Caenorhabditis elegans: one gene and its partner. The protein of the gene in region 1 purifies or fractionates together with the protein of each later gene. This does not show direct contact. Each region holds a gene or a part of one and is shown in the gene's direction. Other genes may lie near its edges. The genes, in order: trp-1 and fbxb-112.

Region 1 (11,370 bases):
GAGGCTTAATCACCTCTATAAAGTAAAAATTCAAATGTACAGATGTGACATCTCCAATAAAATGTCACGCAATTTTTAGCCAAAGAGTATCAAATTTCTTTCCAAATCGTTTCGCCGTGGGAACCATTTCAGCATCTTTTCCTTTCCTTACACATACACAACATTCCTTTCTTATTTCGTTTTCAGTCTCAATGAAATCCTCGTCGTTGTCTCGTTTTCTTATTTTTCGATGCTTCTGAAGTCTTTTGAAAAGAATCCCTGGAGACATTTTGGAACCGAATGGTCTTCATACTTGTTTTTTTGAGTAACGAACAAAAGTTAAATATTCAAAAACATACGCAGAGCCATGTTCTTTTTTAAAATTAAACCTTATTATCGTTTATGAGGTTTTTTTTAGAATTTTTGTTACTCTATTGGTTCAATTTCTGTAACGTCCTTAGAAAGTATGTAGACTGATCACGCGGGGCGGTTTGAATGCCATAAAATATGGGCTGAACGTTGGCCATTGGAAGTAGGCACGCATGTAGGCATGTGGCAGGCGTGGGCCGCCTAGATGGCAAAAAGGAAGGCAAATAGTTTTTTGCCATCTAGCTTGTTATTAACTTTTTAATAACTTAATAATTTTTAGGTTAACAATTTTAACTTTTAAATCTAACAATTATTTCGAGGTGAAACTAAAATGGAGTGACAAGAATATTCGAAAAGTCGCAACAAAAAAAATAGAAACAAATCATTTTCTGATTTCTTGTCACTGTTTTCTCATATCAAAACAGATTATTTCCTTAAATTTCTTTTTTTTTCTCCGATTTTTTGCTACCCCCCGTATTCTAAAGAAGTCCACAGATTTAGGAAGACATCATAATTAAATGACGACAAATTTGTCGCGGGAAACGGCATTAAATAAGGAGATTAAACTGGTGGAGCAACGAGGATGAATCACAAGAATTCGTATCAGTATTTGGATACGGAGACGTAAGTTTTATTTTTAGTTTTTAATTTATTTTGTGTTTGAAAAAAATTTGCAGATTTGTTTTGATATAAAAACAAAACATATGAAAGTTTGCGGTTTGCAAAAATATTTGAAAATTTATATTGAACAATTTTTCAATGGTGGCGTAAATATAAGATTCTGTTTCTAAAAATTGATGATTATGGTATGTCCAACTGAAATTTTGATGAAGTATCATTAAGTTGTTTATTTAACTGAAAGTTACAGAAAAATTTAAATCTTTCGGCGAAACTGCAGACGGAAAATGATCCCTGCACTTTGCGTAAAAAATGCCCAAAAGAAGTGAAAACATCGAGTTCCCCACACGATGAAAAATGTGCTCTTTGCGCTGAAATATGATTCAAGCGAGTACATAACTGGTCTCTAGGGACATTTATTCTTCTATAGTTTTCATAAATTTTCAAGTTTCTTGCAAAACACGTTCAATTTTCAAGTTTAACTTTAGTGATTGAGCCGAATTTTTTGGACACATAGACTTCCTTCTTCGGACGCCTTATCATTGTTGATTCTGGTATGAAACGCTTTTTAGAAATATTTTCAATAGTTAAAAAACCTTCCAAGTTCAATTGTACTCACAAATATTTTCACTAGAAGTCTACTTTCTAGTCCTCCTAAAAAAGTCAAGACTTTTGACATCTTCAGTCTTTCTCGCTCGTCTCTTCTCGAATAAGATTACCGGCGGTTCTTACGAAAACGACAAGTTGTGAGCGCATTTCTATTTTCAACGTCTTCAAACGAAAATCAAAAAGGGAGAAGAGGGTCCCCCGAAAAAAATTGGGGGCGGAGTCATGTTCGATATCACAAGTCTCTTTTTTTTTTCGTTTTGACAGGAAAACGAAGGCTCATCTCGTCAAATTCGGGGCGACATCTTCCTTTTCTTTTCCATCTGCTTCTTCTCCTTCTTTCTTCTGTTTTTCTTCTTTTCTCTTTTAGATCATTCTTCTTATTCAACCGCCGTGGTTCCTCTTTCTCCACTCTTCATCATCATCTTCACACTCACTGATTTTTTGAGCCATTCCCATCTACTCTTATCCACCCCCTTCGGGCATTTTTCACACACTTTCCTTCAGTCTTTCCACCTCTTTCCGTGTCTACTGGGTTAGAGAATTTCAAGCTTATGAACATCTTCTTCGAACAGTTTTAAATTGTGTGCCTGTTGTTTACTTGAATTTGTGTTCGGCTAATTCTTTTGAGTCGGGCTAAGTTCCTGTCTACCACCTATTTTTGCATTTACAATTAGAAGCAAACTCTGGAAATTGTTAATTTTTTTCTCGTGCTGTTTAAATGAAAAAAAAACGGATAGTTGATTTATTATTTTTTTCGAAGTTCAAGTAGGAGCATTTTCATTAGTTACACTGGAAATGCATTTTCAAGCTTAAAAGCAAAGTAATTATTATTGACAACTGTTTGATCAAAATTCATCCCATTCATCCCTCTATTTTGTAGAAAAAAGGTGAAAAATAGCTTGAGAAAAGGATCTCTGATTTATTGTAAACACCTTGTTGTCAAATCACAGACACTTTTTAAAAAAGAAAACATCTCAATTGACAACAGTTGTTTCAATGACCAAACTCCTCTTACTATCCAGACAAACAAATGTTCACAAAAAATACATTTTCCCTCCTGGTCATCCATAGCTCAAAGACCCCACCACGTGTCCCATGTTTTTGAACTTTCAGAAATGTCAGGTCCGTTGGGAAATCTTCCAAATATTTTCTCAGAGATTTGTAGACGTTCTTTCATTTGTTTGTCTTTCCGAGAAGCTGAAAACCTATTTGTATTATACATGTGTCTACTGCCTGAGCAATTTGATATTCGATATTCGCAATGACAAAAGAAGGGTAGGTAATTGGAGGCAACAGCTGATCCGTCTGTGGTTTATAGAAAAAATCTATCTGACATTTTTTGGAGTATCATCGGTGAGGTTTTTTATTGAAATACCCTCATAAAAGCCCATCATGATGAAATATTGAAGTTTTTAAATTTTTTAGTGGTTTCGAGACTTGCTTAAGGCCTACAAAGTTCATATATAAAAAGTAATATACAATGCCCCACCTAAGTTAAGGGATTAAATTGAGTTGGTATTTAAAAAATACAAAAGAGAAGCGCGGTGCGATCGACCTTTTTTGGCTGTAGTTTTAGTTTCTAAATAAAGGTTTTTTGTTCTGAAAAACCTTTCATATACAATTTTTTATTAGTATTATACTTGCAGTTTTCAAACTACCTATTACTGTCCTTCTCTATTTTGAATAATCCTAAAATTATTATTTCTCAACTCAGTCGTCCTCTCGTTTCTTCGTCGAAGTTTCCACATGTGTTTTCATTTTCCATTTAATTTCCCATGTCTCATCACTTCACAATCATCATCATCTGTTAGAAATTTGTCCTCACGGGATTTTGACACAACTATAAAAATTTCTTTCCTCTATCCTTTGACCGACTTTAAACATTTTTTTCGAAAAAAAATTGACGAAGAGGTTTTTGTTTAATTTCAATTTTTGTCTCTCAGATAAACTTGTAAATTTGTATAAGCTTTAAAAATGTTCAGCTTCTTCTATTCTTCTCACTAGGACTAGAAGAAGCTTCTATCAATTCGTGCCGACAACAACGAAGGGAATGATTGGAATGGAGGATGGCGTCCGGTGCGCATAACTTTTTAGAAGGAAATATAGACGAGACCCTCCACTTGAGTTAATAAGTTTTTCGAGTGCTCTATAACTTAAGAATCAGGGGGCTATGTTAAGCATTTGCGGGGGCTCTAGACTGAACTACGTAAGCGCGGGGTGTAATAGAGGGACCACAACAAAACGATTTTATCGGTTGTTTCTTTCCAATTTGCCCCAACAACTAGCCATCAAACGTTTAACAAGAAAGTTTGGCGGAAAAGCACAAACGATTCAATTTTATTAGGAGGAGCTTTTTTCCCTGCTTTCCACTCTATCAAAGTAGATTTTACTTCACTTTGCCAAAGTACAAACACACAAAAAAAAACTCTAGGGGCACCTTAAAGCAGGAAATGGAATAATTTTGTTTAAAATTGAAGGATGCTGTCGGCAGCAGGACGCCGATTCTCTCGATGTGCTCCATCGCCAAGGCCAAGGAGGAACTACGCTTTGGCGAATATCCCACCACCGGCTGCTGTTCACATTCGGACAAATGATATGATTAGTCCAGAAGAAAGAAGGTTTGTTGTTTTATAAAGTGTTGGGCACTTTTCCAGTAAAAACATTTCTCCGTACGTGTTTTCATCTTGAGCTTTTTCAGCATTTATATTAAAACTTACCATAGTTTAGCTATTGGTATTGCACCATAAGTAGTTTTGTTAGATATATTAATTGAACTAAAGACAATCTGCTACTCGTAGGGGCTTACCTTTAAGCTGCTCGAAACGACCTCAATATATTTATATATAATAAACAATAATAATGGGTTATTTTCGAGAAAAAGTCGTGTAAAAAGTTTAAAACACGCCCAATTATTACATGGTTACTACATATTGTCTAATAATCTGTTTAGGTTCCTCGAAGCTGCAGAACTTGGAAACAAGCCCACATTACAAGAATGCTTGGATTACGTGAGTTATTTCAAATCATTGTTTTTTTGAAATTAAAATTATTGAAGGACGGAGACCGCCGTCTCAACGTGAATTGCCTCGATTCAATGGGAAGAACAGCTTTGGAAATTGCAGTTGACAACGAAAATATGGAAGTTGTTGAACTTTTGCTCCAACAACCAGATATCAGAATTGGCAATGCACTGCTATGTGCAATCCGAGAAGGTCCGTAAACCACAGCATTTTTAAAAAATATTTTTTATAATTATTCCAGGTGTATATCGTCTTGTCGAAGTTCTTGTAAATCATCCGAATATTACTCGAGAAATGCTTGGAGACGGTTGGAGTCAAGCTCTTGATCCTTCCGAAGCTGCTAGTGCCGAATATTCAAGTGATATTTCTCCGGTTATATTGGCAGCACAACTCAACCAATTTGAGATTTTGCAAATGTTAATTCGAAAAGATGCAAGTATTGAAAAACCGCACAGGTATTTTTTAAAATACAAACAAATTTGGGGTCGAAATACCAATCCTAACATTTCAGACATTCCTGCATTTGCGAAACATGCGATCGTGAGCGTTTGAACGACTCATTACAGTACTCTCTAAAACGAATCAACACATTTCGAGCTCTTGCAAGCCCTGCATGGATGTCTCTTACAAGTCCCGATCCAATTCTATCCGCTTTCAAACTTTCATGGGATCTACAACGATTGGCATTTGAGGAGCATGAATTCAAAGAGACATATTTGCAACTTTCGGAGCAATGTAAACAATATTCATGTGATTTATTAAGTCAATGTCGAAGTTCTGAAGAAGTTATCGCAATTTTAAATAAGGATGGAAATGTGAATGATGATAATATTGATGTTTGGGCAAGTAAACTATCGCTTTCAAGGTTAAAACTGGCTATCAAATATGAACAAAAAGCTGTGAGTTATTTTTTTTGAAATTGTGCAACAAATAATTTATTATTTCAGCTCAACTAAATTCCCTGAACACATATTATTAAACTTAATCAAACTTATCAATTTTCAGTTTGTCTCTCATCCTCATTGTCAACAGTTGCTCACCTCTATCTGGTATGAAGGTATTCCATATCGGCAGCGGAGTGGTACCTGGGCTAATTTTTTCCTCTACGCTTTTCTACTTTTTCTCTGGCCAATATTCTGTCTCATGTATATTCTAGTGAGTATTTGAAAAATTTTCAATTTTGACAAAGATAATTTCAGATGCCAAAAAGCCGATTGGGTCGGTTAGTACGGTCTCCATTCATGAAATTCTTTTACTACTCGGTGTCGTTTGCAACGTTTTTAGGACTTTTAACGTGGGCCACTTTTGAAGATTATCGATACGAAAAAGGAGAAAGGGTTAGTTTTAAGAAATTTGGAACATTTCTGAAGTTGAAATTATTAACTCAAAAAAATTCTATATAGGAAATCATATTTCCAGGGTGGAATGACAAGAGCATCTGACCGTGGTCCACCAGCAACATGGGTTGAATCACTCGTATTCACATGGGTAATTGGAATGTTATGGTCAGAAATTAAGCAATTATGGGAAGAAGGTTTTAAACGATATATGAGACAATGGTGGAATTGGCTTGATTTCCTGATGATTTGCCTTTATTTATGCACCATTTCAATAAGGTATAATATATCAGAACTATACAAAATATAAAATTGATTTTCAGACTAAGCGCGTATTATATCTTTACATATCGTGAGGATCCATATCGGTACACAGTCCGCACATATTGGACATCTGAAGAACCAATGTTGGTAGCGGAGGCGTTGTTCGCTGTTGGAAATGTTTTTTCGTTTGCTCGAATTATTTACTTGTTCCAGACAAATCCGTATTTGGGGCCACTGCAGGTAAATAAATTTTGCATATAGCAATAAATAATTGACTTTGTGCAGAAGGGATAGTGTTGGGCAATACTCGGTTTAGACCGAGCCCCCAGCCAGCAAAGTTAAAAAGGTCAAATTTGGCCAGTTGGAGCAAACTGAAATAAAACTTGGACTCAGCCTAAACACAGTCTTGCACAAATTTTTCCACCTTTCAAGCCAAGTTATTTTGTGTTAAAACAAAAATGAGCCTCACTTTCAATTAAAAGACAATTTTCAGATATCCCTTGGATGTATGTTGGTGGACGTTGCAAAGTTCTGCTTCATCTTCGTCCTAATAATAAGTTCTTTCTCAATTGGCCTTGCTCAACTCTACTGGTACTATGATCCAAATACAGATGTATGCCTACCTGGTGCCACATGCAAACACAGTTCCAATGTATTCTCCTCGATTGCCGATTCCTATTTGACACTTCTCTGGTCTCTATTTTCGATTACAAAACCAGAAGATACCGATGTTGTGGAAAATCACAAAATAACTCAATGGGTTGGACAAGGAATGTTTATTATGTATCATTGTACTTCAATAATTGTCTTACTTAACATGCTCATTGCTATGATGTCTCATTCGTTTCAAATTATCAATGATCATGCGGATCTTGAATGGAAGTTTCATCGAACGAAGCTTTGGATGGCTCACTTCGATGAAGGATCAAGTCTTCCACCTCCATTTAATATTATAGTCACTCCGAAGTCATTAATATATGTGATGAATTGTCTATTCAACACTGTCAGATGGCTTCTAGGAAAGTACACTTATCAGAAAAACAGGAATCGGGCAACTATCAGGGTAAGATTTTCGAATTTTGAAAATGAAAACTGCCTCCACAACAAATTCGATGCAAAATTAATAGAAGCTGTGAAACCGAGGAAATACGGTCAATAATCTTCAAAGACGTTTACCAGAACTACCAAGAAAATATAAAGCATTCATCTTTACTTATTTTTCCCTTATTCCAGCGTCCTGGCTATTCTCGAAAAAGAAATGAAATGGAAAAATCTGGTGGTCACGACGATGATTCTTTGAAACCATTGACATATGCTGATATAATTACAAGACTTGTGGCAAGATTTATACATCAAACAAAGAAAGATATGAAAATGGACGGAGTTAATGAAGATGATCTACATGAAATCAAACAAGACATTAGTAGTTTGAGGTGAGCCATTTTAAAATTTTTATATGAAAAATTTCAAGATCCTACAATATCTTCGTTTCATCCAAATAGCAGTTGAAAATCTGCCAAGCAGCCTCTAATAAATGCCGAGTGTACAGACTCCGCCCCTTTTTCGCGTTTTTTCGCGTTTTTTTTGGCTTGCGAAAAAATGTCACACTACGTTTTCATTCACAACTCCTGAACCGTGTGACTTCATGCTCTAATATTTGAAATCCTACTAGAAATATTTTGCCCCACGGTGGAGCAGAAAACGGCACTAAGTTCGGAGCAAAATTGAGCCCAGGGCGGCTTTCCCCAGTTTGAAAAAATTTTTTGTTGCTCTTTTTACCCCCAAAAAAGCATGTTTTAATTGAATTAAAATTCGGGTTTTGCTCGGTTTTGTTTCAAATTTATGTGCAAGATACTACTCAGAGAGACTGATTTTTTGAAAAAAAGTTTGAGTTTATAAGTGCAAAAGGAAAAAAGTTGTGATAAAACAAAAGGCCAAAAAATGACATTTTGCCAAAAAAAAATTTTTTTCCGAAAAAGTAGTTTTTCGTCTTTATCTCAAGTTCTACTTCATCTTTTTCGATACTTTTTTTTCTACCCCACGTAAAAAAGTACGCTGAACACGATTTTCAACTCAGAATTAAGAAAAGTTTTATGAGTCGGCCGAGCAAGACGAATAAGTGCCACATTTTGCACACTTTCCCATTTTCGCGAATCTACTTTTTCAATCATAACTCGGTCAGTTTTCAAGTTTTCTTAGTTTTCCAAAAATTGACGTGTAGGTCTCATCAAGACGCATCGAGACATATAAAATGTGTAAAAAGTTCAGTGGGAAAGTTTTTCAAGAAAACAATAATTCAAAAATTTAGTATTGGGGGGAGTGGTTTCCTGGGTCTCCTGAACATTTTTTCCACTAAAGTTTTGCGGAATGTATTTTTGATTCATAGTTTTTGATTTTATTTAATGGAAGATGAAGTTTCGTCGCATTAGAAATACTCTGCCAAGAGATATTATTTTTATTAATTTTCAGGCCAAAACTTGTTTTTTTCTACAAATCGACCGGTTTACGAGGTATAGCCCTCAACTGTACGTCTCCTTTTTGGGAAATCAATAATGAGTACAATCCTGTAATAAAATTTTCAAAAATTCGTTTTCCCGCTGACATATCAGTAATAAACGGTTTTCGAACGTCTTCCCCAAATAGTAATAATTGAAGAAAGCGGAATCGAAAGACGACTTCCTCCAGAAAATTTTCTTCCCTACATCCCAGTTTGAGGTGTCTCCTGCATGGTCGAGTGGTTAGTGCGAATGACTGCAGAAATTTTGGTAGTTGGTTCAATTCTACCAAGTGATAAATTTTTTTGTTTTTTTGTGAGTAATCGGGATTCGAATAGAAATACTCGATTTCATACAAAATATGGGTACGTCTCCCCTAATATAAAGCCTCCTCAAACTTCAATCAATCAAAACTCAGCTTTAACTGATTCATCGGGTGCATCTGTTTTTGGTCAAACCGAACTCAAAAATCAATAAGACTCCCACCTACTGAAATTTTCACGAACCCTCTAACAGGTTCGAGGCGAAGCCGAGAGCCTACGCCCGGCAAGGGGACTCGCCTTACACCCCCTACAACCGGCGGGCCCGCAGGGCCCGCTAGTCTGAAAATCTAGAAATACAGAAAAGTTTTGGTTTTTAGGTAAAAACGATTCTGTATTTTTAGATTATCAGATTAAATATCCAGCTTTTTCCTGCTCAAAAAATTATCATAATTTAATTAATACGTTAAAGATACGAACTCCGAGATGATCGTCGTCGTGAAATCGTTCGCAGCTCATCACATATTGATGCAGTGAAACGAGATATTATGCGTACAATGAGTACAACATCACGTCGACCTTACGGTGGAAGTATGCGTCTTCCAAAGACACGACCATCAGTTGCAGAAGAATCAGAAGAAGATGATAAAAGTGATGAAACAAGTTCAACAGACGAGGAGGCTGATGAGACGAGGTTTTTCCTAAAGTACTTTCTTTCAAAACTTCTACGCTTTTTTCAGTTTTAAAAATAGTGTAGTGTAGTTGAAACTCCTTATTTGCAGTATTTTAGAAATGATTTATAAAAATTTAACAATTAAAGATCTCGGAAGTCATCAGTACTCTACATTCCCCCTGTCAACTCAACTCTACCTGGAATTATAAGTGAAGAAGCTCCAGTTAAGAAAAGCACAAAAAGACGTGCAAGTGAGGCTGATTCAAAACTTCCCGATAGACCTTTATCAGATACTTATACATCTTCATTTACGGTAAGTAGACAAAAGGGTTGGTGTATTTTACGGTTGTACAAAAAATTCACCATTCCGCTTCAAAAAAATATTGCCGATACTTTCAGCCTAAACTGTTACCGGTATTTGCTCAACCACCACACAGTGCTCTTCGAAAAACGGATACATCAATGAGCTTCCCAATCAACGGAACAGCTCTGGATACTTCAATTGTAAAACCTCCAAGGGGAGTTTTGAGGTAGATCTGAATATTCCTTTTTTACTGAAAATTGTCAATTTTCCAGGGCTTCCCAAGAAAACCTACCAGCTGTGGAATTGATCGAAACGCTGAAAAAGGAGATGAATGAGAAATTGGATCGATTAATAAGTGGAATCTCTGAAAATGTGAAGAGTCCCAGCCCTGCATCTCATAGTCATGTCGGTTTTAATGTAGAAAAATAGTTTCAATTTATGTTTCCTCTAATGTCAACGGGTACATATATATTTCTAATTTAGGTAATAATCGAATAATAAAAATTATATTATAAACACTTCTTTCAATCTTCGTTATTCTATAGATCTAGATATCACATAAAACAAATTTTCTAAACGTTTCTGGCGTTTTCTCGTTTTGAGGTTCCAATAGAGCTCGTACAAAGTGCCTTATGTCGCTAAATTGAAACTACTGTAAAAGTAAATTATTTATTTTATCAGTTGATATCAACCCAGTAAAACAAAAAAAGTTCATTTGAAAGTTTAAAAAAACAACAAAAAGAAAGAGATTTAATATTATTTAGGCTATATTTTCTTCTATAATTGTTGCACTTTTCTGAGCATTTATTTTCAGTCTCCTACTCCTTGATGGCTTAATCTTCATTAATGATTCCATTTGCACACTCTCAGTTTTTCTAGATGGTCCCGTCGATGTCTTGTTGCATGATATCTATAATTTAATAGCTGAAATTCCAATCAATTTCCGAACTAAATTAGCTCAGAAGTTTACTACAAATTAAAAATAAGCATTCATAATGTTATAGACATGCGCAACAAGCAAACGTGTTCGGTGGAGCGCTAGGGTAAGAGTGATGTGCATAAGTGGGATGAATATATTAATTGTTATGTTAACATACCTCTATTTGATTCAAAATTAGTTTAGTCTGAAAAAAGCGAAATATTTACGCGGAAAAGTCAAGCAAGGTGAAGTTTATTTGATAGTTATCACTTGGAGCTATTGGTTCTTTTTAATTGAAGTTAATGAGAAACTCATAAAGACTTATCCGAAAATAATTCAATTCCAAGTGACTAACTAGCAAATAAAGTAATAATTCGTACATCGTTAGCCGTGTTAGTGGGACCAGTTAGCAAGCGATGTCGAATACTGTTGAAAAACGTTCGCCGAAGCACGTCGTCATTAAACTGAAATTACAAACCGATGAACACATATCGATGAATACCTTTGTGTGAAACACGAAGAA
Region 2 (7,731 bases), on another chromosome or scaffold:
TCTCAATTTTCTATAATTATTTTCCTAAAAAAATGTAATTAAAAAACCGCTAAAAACGGTAAATTCCAAATTTTTGCATTTTTTCAAAAAAAATTTGAAAAAAAAAATCAGAAAATTCTCAAATCTATTCCCTTTTTTTAAAATTTTTCCCAAACCAAAAAAAAAAACGGTAAATTTTCAAATTTAGCATTTTTCCAAAATTAAACATAAAAAAAAACGCAAATTTCCAAATTTCGTTTTTTTTTCAAAAAAGTTGAAAAATCCAGAAAATACCCTCTTGTCCATGAAAAAATACGAAAATTTTCAATAAAAAATCAATTTCTTCTTAAAAAATTAATTCTCGATTTTTCCATGAAAAAAAATCAAATATTAATTAAATTTGAAAAAAAAAAGAATTTATCTAATAGTTTCGTTTTTTTTCAGAGGAAAAATTTGAAAAAAAAAACAGTAAATTCTCTTTCTTTTTGAAAAAAAAAATTATCGATTCTTCCAAGTTTTTTCCCGAAAAAATCGACAAAAAAACGAGAATTTCCGATTTTCTATTTTTTTTTTCAAAAAAATGTGAAAAAAAAAATTAAAAAATTCCAATTTTGCATTTTTTTTTCAAAAAAAATTTAAAAACACCGTATAATTCCCGATTTTTCCATGAAAAAATACGAAAAATTCCAATAAAAATCAACTATTTTAAAAATTTGCCGTTTTTTCAGATATTTCGAAAAATCTGCCAACTCTCGTCGCGAGGAAGAACAAAACCGCCGTGAGCAGCAACGTGAACGTGAACGAGCCGAACAAGAACGCCGCCGTGAACGTGAAAAAGAACGTGAACAGGAAAAAGCCAAGGAACGAGAGAAAAAGCGAAAAGAATTGGAAGAATCATCAGGCTACGATGAATGTTATCCAGGCGGCCTAGTAGAGATGGGCGGTGCATGGGATTCAGATGAAGAAGCCGACTATTCGAAAATGGATGCAGGGCCTAAGAAGAATCAAGCTGTTAATCGATGGGATTTTGATACGGAGGAGGAGTATGCCTCTTATATGGTGCTTACAATTTTCTGGAGAAAAATATTTTAAAAAATAACGAAAATGGACCGAATTTTTGGAGAAAATTTTAAAAAAAACGACATTTTTCCCAAAAAATTGAAAAATTTCCGAAAAAACGTTCAAAATTTTCAAAAAAGGAGCATTTTTCGAAAAAAAAAACGATAATACGGAAATTTTTTGATTTTCCAGTTTTTTTCTCAAAGAAAATCGGAAAAAGGTTTTTTTTCTTTAAAAACGTCCAAAATTTTTCGAAAAAAGAGAAAATTTTCGATTTTCCGATTTTTTTCAGAAAAAAATTGAAAAAAAAAGAAATTTTCCGATTTTCTCAGAGAAAGACGAAAAGACGATATTTTTCGGAAAAAAGTTGAAAAATCAAAAAAAAAACCGAAAAACGGCCGAAATTTTCTAAAAATTGGAAATATTGTCGATTTTTCGAAAAAAAAGAGTCAAAAGTTTTCAAAAAAATATATTTTTTCGATTTTCCGTTTTTTTTTTTCAGTAAACATTGAAACAAACGAAATTTTTCCAAAAAAATCCAATTATTTTCCCAAATATCGAAATATTTTTGATTTTCCGTTTTTTTCAGAAAAAAGTTAAAAAAAAAAGGGAAAATTAAGATTTTCCTGATTTTTTTTGAGAAAAAATCGATAAAAATTGAATATTCTGGAAAAAACCTTTAAAAAATTCGAATTAAATCGAAAAACGTCCAAAATTTTCTAAAAAATTGAAATTTTTTTTGAAAAAAAACGGAAAAATTTAGATTTCCCGACTTTTTTCAATGAAAAATCGAATTTTCGTTGACTTTTCATTAAAAAATCCAAACGCATTTTTTTCCACTAAAATCTCGAAAAAGTGTCATATTGCACCATATTGTTTCCACATTCATATTATTTTGAGCTAAATCAGGTGATTTTCTGTATTTTGATACTAATTTCTATTTTTAGAAAAAATGTGGGAACAATATGGTGCAATATGACATTTTTTCGAGATTTTAGTGGAGAAAAAATGCGTTTGGAAACGAATTTTATAATAAAAAGTCAACGAAAATTCGATTTTTCATGGAAAAATAGGGAAATCGAAAACAAATTTGCTTTTTTTTCAAAAAAAAAAACGGAAATTCGAAATTTTTCCGTTCTTTCAAAAAAAAAATCGATTTTTTTGGAAATTTTTTTTTTCAAATTTTTAAAAATTTCCAGGAAGGACGTGAAGCTCTGCCAAAAGCCGCCTATCAATACGGAGTCAAAAATGGAGAAGGTGGCCGAAAGAACAAGAAACAGTCGGCAGTGTCGGATGCGAAGCGGCTCGATCGGGAGCTCAATGAGATTAACAAGATTATGGATAAACGGAAGGCCGGAGGAGATGGAGCCGGTGGTGGTGGAGATTATAAGAAGCCTAAATATTGATTTTTTTAATGATTTTTATGAATTCTTTGCTTCTTTTCCGTTCGTTTCAATAATAAATTTTACTCTAAAAAGTGATTTTTTAAAAAAATCTTTTTAAAAAAGTTGCTCTGAAAATGATAAAAATCGAATTATTTTTTTCGAATTTTTAACGGTGCAAATGCGCTCCACAGCAAATCCGGAAAACGCCCCGCCCTCAAAGCATGGGTCTCGTTAGGTATAAGCCGATATAGGTAAAGGGATAGGTAAAGGGATAGGTATAGGTATAGGTAAAGGCATAGGCATAGGCATAGGTATAGGTTTTGGTATAGGTATAGGTATAGGTATAGGTATAGGTATAGGACTAGGTATAGGTATAGGTATAGGTATAGGTATAGGTATCGGTATAGGTATCGGTATAGGTATAGGTATAGGTATAGGGATAGGTATAGGTATAGGTATAGGTATAGGTATAGGAATAGGTATAGGTATAGGTATAGGTATAGGTATAGGTATAGGTATCGGTATAGGTATAGGTATCGGTATAGGTATAGGTAAAGGGATAGGTATAGGTAAAGGGATAGGTATAGGTATAGGTAAAGGGATAGGTATAGGTATAGGTAAAGGCATAGGCATAGGCATAGGTATAGGTTTTGGTATAGGTATAGGTATAGGTATAGGTTTAGGTATAGGTATAGGAATAGGTATAGGTGTATAGGAATAGGTATAGGTATAGGTATAGGTATAGGTATAGGTATAGGTATCGGTATAGGTATCGGTATAGGTATAGGTAAAGGAATAGATATAGGTATAGGTATAGGTATAGGTATAGGTATAGGTATAGGTATAGGTATAGGTATAGGTATAGGTATAGGTAAAGGGATAGGTATAGGTATAGGTATAGGTATAGGTATAGGTATAGGTATAGGTATAGGTATAGGTATAGGTATAGGTATAGGCTGGCCACGACGCAAATACCTCCTCGTGGGAAGTGTGCGGGAAGAGATCATAGACTATTCCTACCATACTGCGTTACATACGCGGTATTAAATACCAACTATCGATCATTCAGCCATTGTCTTTGGCTGCCATTGTGCTCACTTGTTGCTCAGCAGTCTTACTGCAATGTCTGTCGTCTCTTTTTCTCTTCTACGTCTTTCTAAAAAGGCACTGGATAATGTAACGAAGCACTTGAAATACATTAAAATGTAAGTTCGTAAGATTTTTTTTCTGTAAGGTTATGGTTAGGCATAGGCTCAGACCTAGGTTTAGACTTAGGCTTAGGCGTACCTGGAAACAAAATTGAATTTTCACAGTTTCACACGTCTTTTTCACAGTAAAAGCTAGTTTTTTAAATCATACCCGACAATTTTACAGTTTGTCGAAAAATTGATATCGGCATGCATTTTCTTAATTGTTTCAAATTTTTGTATACCAACGAGTCCGTTTCTCTTTCGGATTTTTTTTGATTTCTTACTAACTAACTGACTGATACTCAACAAATTATTAAAGGTGGAGTAGCGCCAGTGGGGATTTTGTCTAAATGCACTCATAATGATCCAAAACAACCGAATTTCATAATAAAACACTTCAAAAATTTTTCGATTTTTCACAATTTCCGGTCAAAGTTTTGGCAAATTGTCAAAATTTTGAAAAATACTAGCTTTTGAGGAAATTTAAAGAAATGTCGCATGTTTCGACCTCTACAATGTTTTAATACAAATAATTTTAACAAAATTAAAACATAAAAAATGTCGAAAAAAATTTTTTGGTCGACTTCCAAAATTATGAGTGGCAAAAACTGAATAATTGCCACTTTTTGACAGTAAATAAAAAATTTTCAAAATTTTTTGAAAAGTTTTATCATGATATTTGGTCATTTTGGGACCAAAGGAGTGGTTTTTTTTTACTCCACCTTTAATAAACCTAATATCGGAGACAGTTGATGTAAATATTAAATATTACAGTGACTTCTTTTCAGAATCGGACTAACCACGCTCTCCAAGAAGACGTCAAGGTTGTTTAGACTCAATTACAAGGAGGCTCGAATTTTTATTGATATTACTGAAACAATTAATATTTCAATTCGAGATCCATCGAAACATATAACAAGAAAGTTATTGAATGACGGCGTAGCCAATCTACATGACTATCGGTATATGGGACCAACATGGACTGCTGAATGGGTTTTAAAACATTTCGGAATACGGGATTGGATGGTTCTCGTTAAACAGCTGACTGGCCAGGAAGAAATTGAGAAGCTTTGTTTTAGAAAAAACCACCAAAACTACTCAATCGATGAATTCAAGAAGTTTTTCGAAGGATTCAAAGTATCATGTTTATCAATTATTGATCCATCATTTAACTCTCATGGTTTGATTCCCTGCTTTTCCCCTGAAAAAGTGATGCACTTGACTATCGAAAAAGCTTCTAACTAATCGATTCTCGCAGCAAACTTCGAAACCCTAGATATTCACGATGATAGCACTTACACACTGAACGATGTATTGGTAATGAATAGCCCGAATATCTTAATTTCTCTGGGAACACTGTCTGACGTTGAGCTCAACCTGTACTTGAAGCATTTCATTAAAGGCTCAAATCCGATGCTTGAGTTCTTGTTTTTGCTTTACGACTTTGATGATCAAATTATGAAGGAAGATGTTGTCTTCAAAGGAGTTCCTTATACAATTTTATCGCAAAATCTGGAATCATGTTACGTCAAAAAAGAGACTGGTGAGGAAGAATATGTATATGGTGGATATGAAATAACGAGAGATGATGGTAAAATGGCACTTGTTCATATCAAAAAAACGACGCTCATTTATCGAGTTCAAAGTTATTCTTGTTGGTTTAACTGAACGGGTATTACGGGACGGGCGTTATTGGCGGAGATTATTCTGACCAGGGACTCTATTTTGGTGACAAGAGAATTATGTGTCGAATGATATATTTTCTGAATGCTAATACAATGAACATACCGAATTCAAAATAAAATCTTGCCCAAATTGATGTTAAAACAATTTTTTTTACTTCGAATGCGTATTTAAGCCAAAATGTCGTTGTTTTTGAAGCTTCAGATATCGATGGACTTGGAAGATACAAGAAAATAGTCAACAGACAAAATATTAAGAACAATACGAAAATCATTGCAAAATATAATGTGCATTTAAAATGTTAAAAATTAGCATAAAATTTCATCGTCTTATGAGATGAATGAGATCGTCTTTGAAAGGAAATAGAAAAATTAAAGTGTTCATAATAATATAATGATTTTCGTATGTATTGTTCTTAATATTTTGTCAGTTGACTATTTTTTTGTATCTTCCAAGTCCATCGATATATGAAGCTTCAAAAACAACGACATTTTGGCTTAAATACGCATGCAGAGTAAAAAAATTGCCTTAACATCAATTTGGGCAAGATTTGATTTGATTTGATTTATTACGATTGGGATCGTGATGGAATAAAAGCAGTATAGTATAAAGACAGAAAAATAAATACACAATACATAGAATACACAATACAATAATCAAAAAGTTACGAATAAAGTACAAGCAAGAAAAGCAATTATTACCTGCAAAAGTTGATTAATTGGAACATTAAAGTGAACATTTAATTTATTAATTGTATTAATTAATGTACATTTAATTAATTGAATTATTTTATTTTAAATTCAATATGTTCATTGTATTAGCTTTCATAAAATATATCATTCGACCCACAACTCTCTTGACACCAAAAAAAGAGTCCATAGTGAGCTATCGTTGTATTTTTTTGGTTTTCTGTAGTTCAACTATGCTGTAAATTGTGCTCATTTTCTGATCTTCGCCATTTCTCGTGTATCATTGTTTTTCTCACTAATCGTTTATATAAATTTGCATTTTTTATTTAAAATTATTTTTTCACTATGTTTCACACTCAAAACCTCGAAAAACATACATTATTATTAAAAAATTAAATTATGATGTAAAATATTAAAAAGAGATTCTTCTAATTAAAATCATCGCCCGACGACGACGAGAAATCCTCCGAATAGTCTGATGACGTCACTGATGATGGTCCGGGTGCCGAGCCATCCGCATTTCGGTGCTCAGGCTCTGGCTCCGGCGGCGGAGCCAATGACATTGTTGCTCCATGGTAACCGTCCACGTGGAAGGTGTCTGCAATCGGAACCTCTCGTCGCTTCTTCTTTTGAACATAGTCGACGACATCGTGAACTAACGCCTTCGGTACCATGATGTACGTGTAGCCAAGTGCAAATGGAACGCCGATTGCTGGAAAATATTGATTTTTTGGAAAATTTGAAAAAATATTGGTGGGGTATGCGATTTTTTCCGGTCAAATTGAAGAATTTTAGCGAAATCTCTATGTGTCGATTTACGCGCGGCTCGTGTACTCCCCGAGGAGAAGGATTTTCGATTTCTTGCGATTTTTTTTCGGTGTTTTCAAATCAGAAAATTTGAATTTCCCGCCAAAAATTTTACGTTTTTCAGAAAATTCAAATTTCCCGCCAAAATTGAATTTTTTAAAAGAAAATTTAAATTTCCCGCCAAAATTGAATTTTTTTAAAGAAAATTTAAATTTCCCGCCAGAACTGTTTTTTTTGGGAAAATTTGAATTAGCCGCCTAAATTAAATTTTTTTTTAGAAAATCTGAATTTCCCGCCAAAATTAATTTTTTTAAAGAAAATTCAAATTTCCCGCCAACATCACAAAATTGGCGATTTATATCTATGAAAAATCAGGGAAAATGGTGAAAAATCAGCGAAAATGGCCAAAATTTCTGCCCACTTCTCCACGAGGACTCCACGAGCTGCGTAAATCGACACTCTTTGGAAAATTCATTTTTTGCTAATTTTCGGTAATTTTTCTAAATTTTTTGTGATTTTTTTTGCGAAAATTTTCCAATTTCCTGTAAATGTTCCATTTTTTGAAGTTTTCTGAAAAATAAAAATAAATTTCACAAAATTTTTTTTTTTTAATTAAAGTTTTTAAATTTTACTTATAAAAATATTACGAAAAAACTGAAATATTTAGTGAAAATTTCAGATTAAAAAAAAAAAAATTTTCCCAAAAATTCCAAAAAATATTTTTTTGTGATTTTTTTCCGAAAATCCGCTAATTTCCTGTAAATTTTCCAATTTCCTCCGAATTTTTGCCAATTTCCATTGAAAAACGAACCAACAGCAACTCCGGCAATGGCCGGCGAAACGATGGCCGAAGTGGTGACGGCGGCGGCCGTCGAGATGACTCTTTTCGCCTTCGATTGATTTTTCAGCCGCTTGTAAACCCGTTTTCCCACCGAAAAT

What was found.
Region 2: the proteins of trp-1 (region 1) and fbxb-112 fractionate together in Caenorhabditis elegans (co-fractionation; one large-scale study listed by BioGRID). This does not show direct contact.

The regions. Positions count from the first base shown.
Region 1 is NC_003281.10:8,532,295-8,543,664, forward strand, and holds trp-1 (Transient receptor ion channel domain-containing protein), read left to right. Parts: upstream 1-3,625; coding exon 3,626-3,651; intron 3,652-4,052; coding exon 4,053-4,193; intron 4,194-4,525; coding exon 4,526-4,583; intron 4,584-4,630; coding exon 4,631-4,787; intron 4,788-4,836; coding exon 4,837-5,050; intron 5,051-5,106; coding exon 5,107-5,494; intron 5,495-5,600; coding exon 5,601-5,750; intron 5,751-5,794; coding exon 5,795-5,932; intron 5,933-6,014; coding exon 6,015-6,211; intron 6,212-6,255; coding exon 6,256-6,436; intron 6,437-6,689; coding exon 6,690-7,259; intron 7,260-7,429; coding exon 7,430-7,629; intron 7,630-9,423; coding exon 9,424-9,645; intron 9,646-9,771; coding exon 9,772-9,937; intron 9,938-10,023; coding exon 10,024-10,154; intron 10,155-10,200; coding exon 10,201-10,357; downstream 10,358-11,370. Other genes in the region: ZC21.6 (uncharacterized protein), read right to left, coding at 10,689-10,838, 11,026-11,052, 11,228-11,311. UniProt on the Caenorhabditis elegans protein: Could mediate calcium entry and form a calcium permeant channel.
Region 2 is NC_003280.10:3,487,634-3,495,364, forward strand, and holds fbxb-112 (F-box domain-containing protein), read left to right. Parts: upstream 1-3,463; 5' UTR 3,464-3,545; coding exon 3,546-3,628; intron 3,629-4,401; coding exon 4,402-4,858; 3' UTR 4,859-4,950; downstream 4,951-7,731. Other genes in the region: Smu-2 suppressor of mec-8 and unc-52 protein, read left to right, coding at 708-1,038, 2,238-2,444; Y49F6B.9 (RBR-type E3 ubiquitin transferase), read right to left, coding at 6,414-6,697, 7,604-7,731.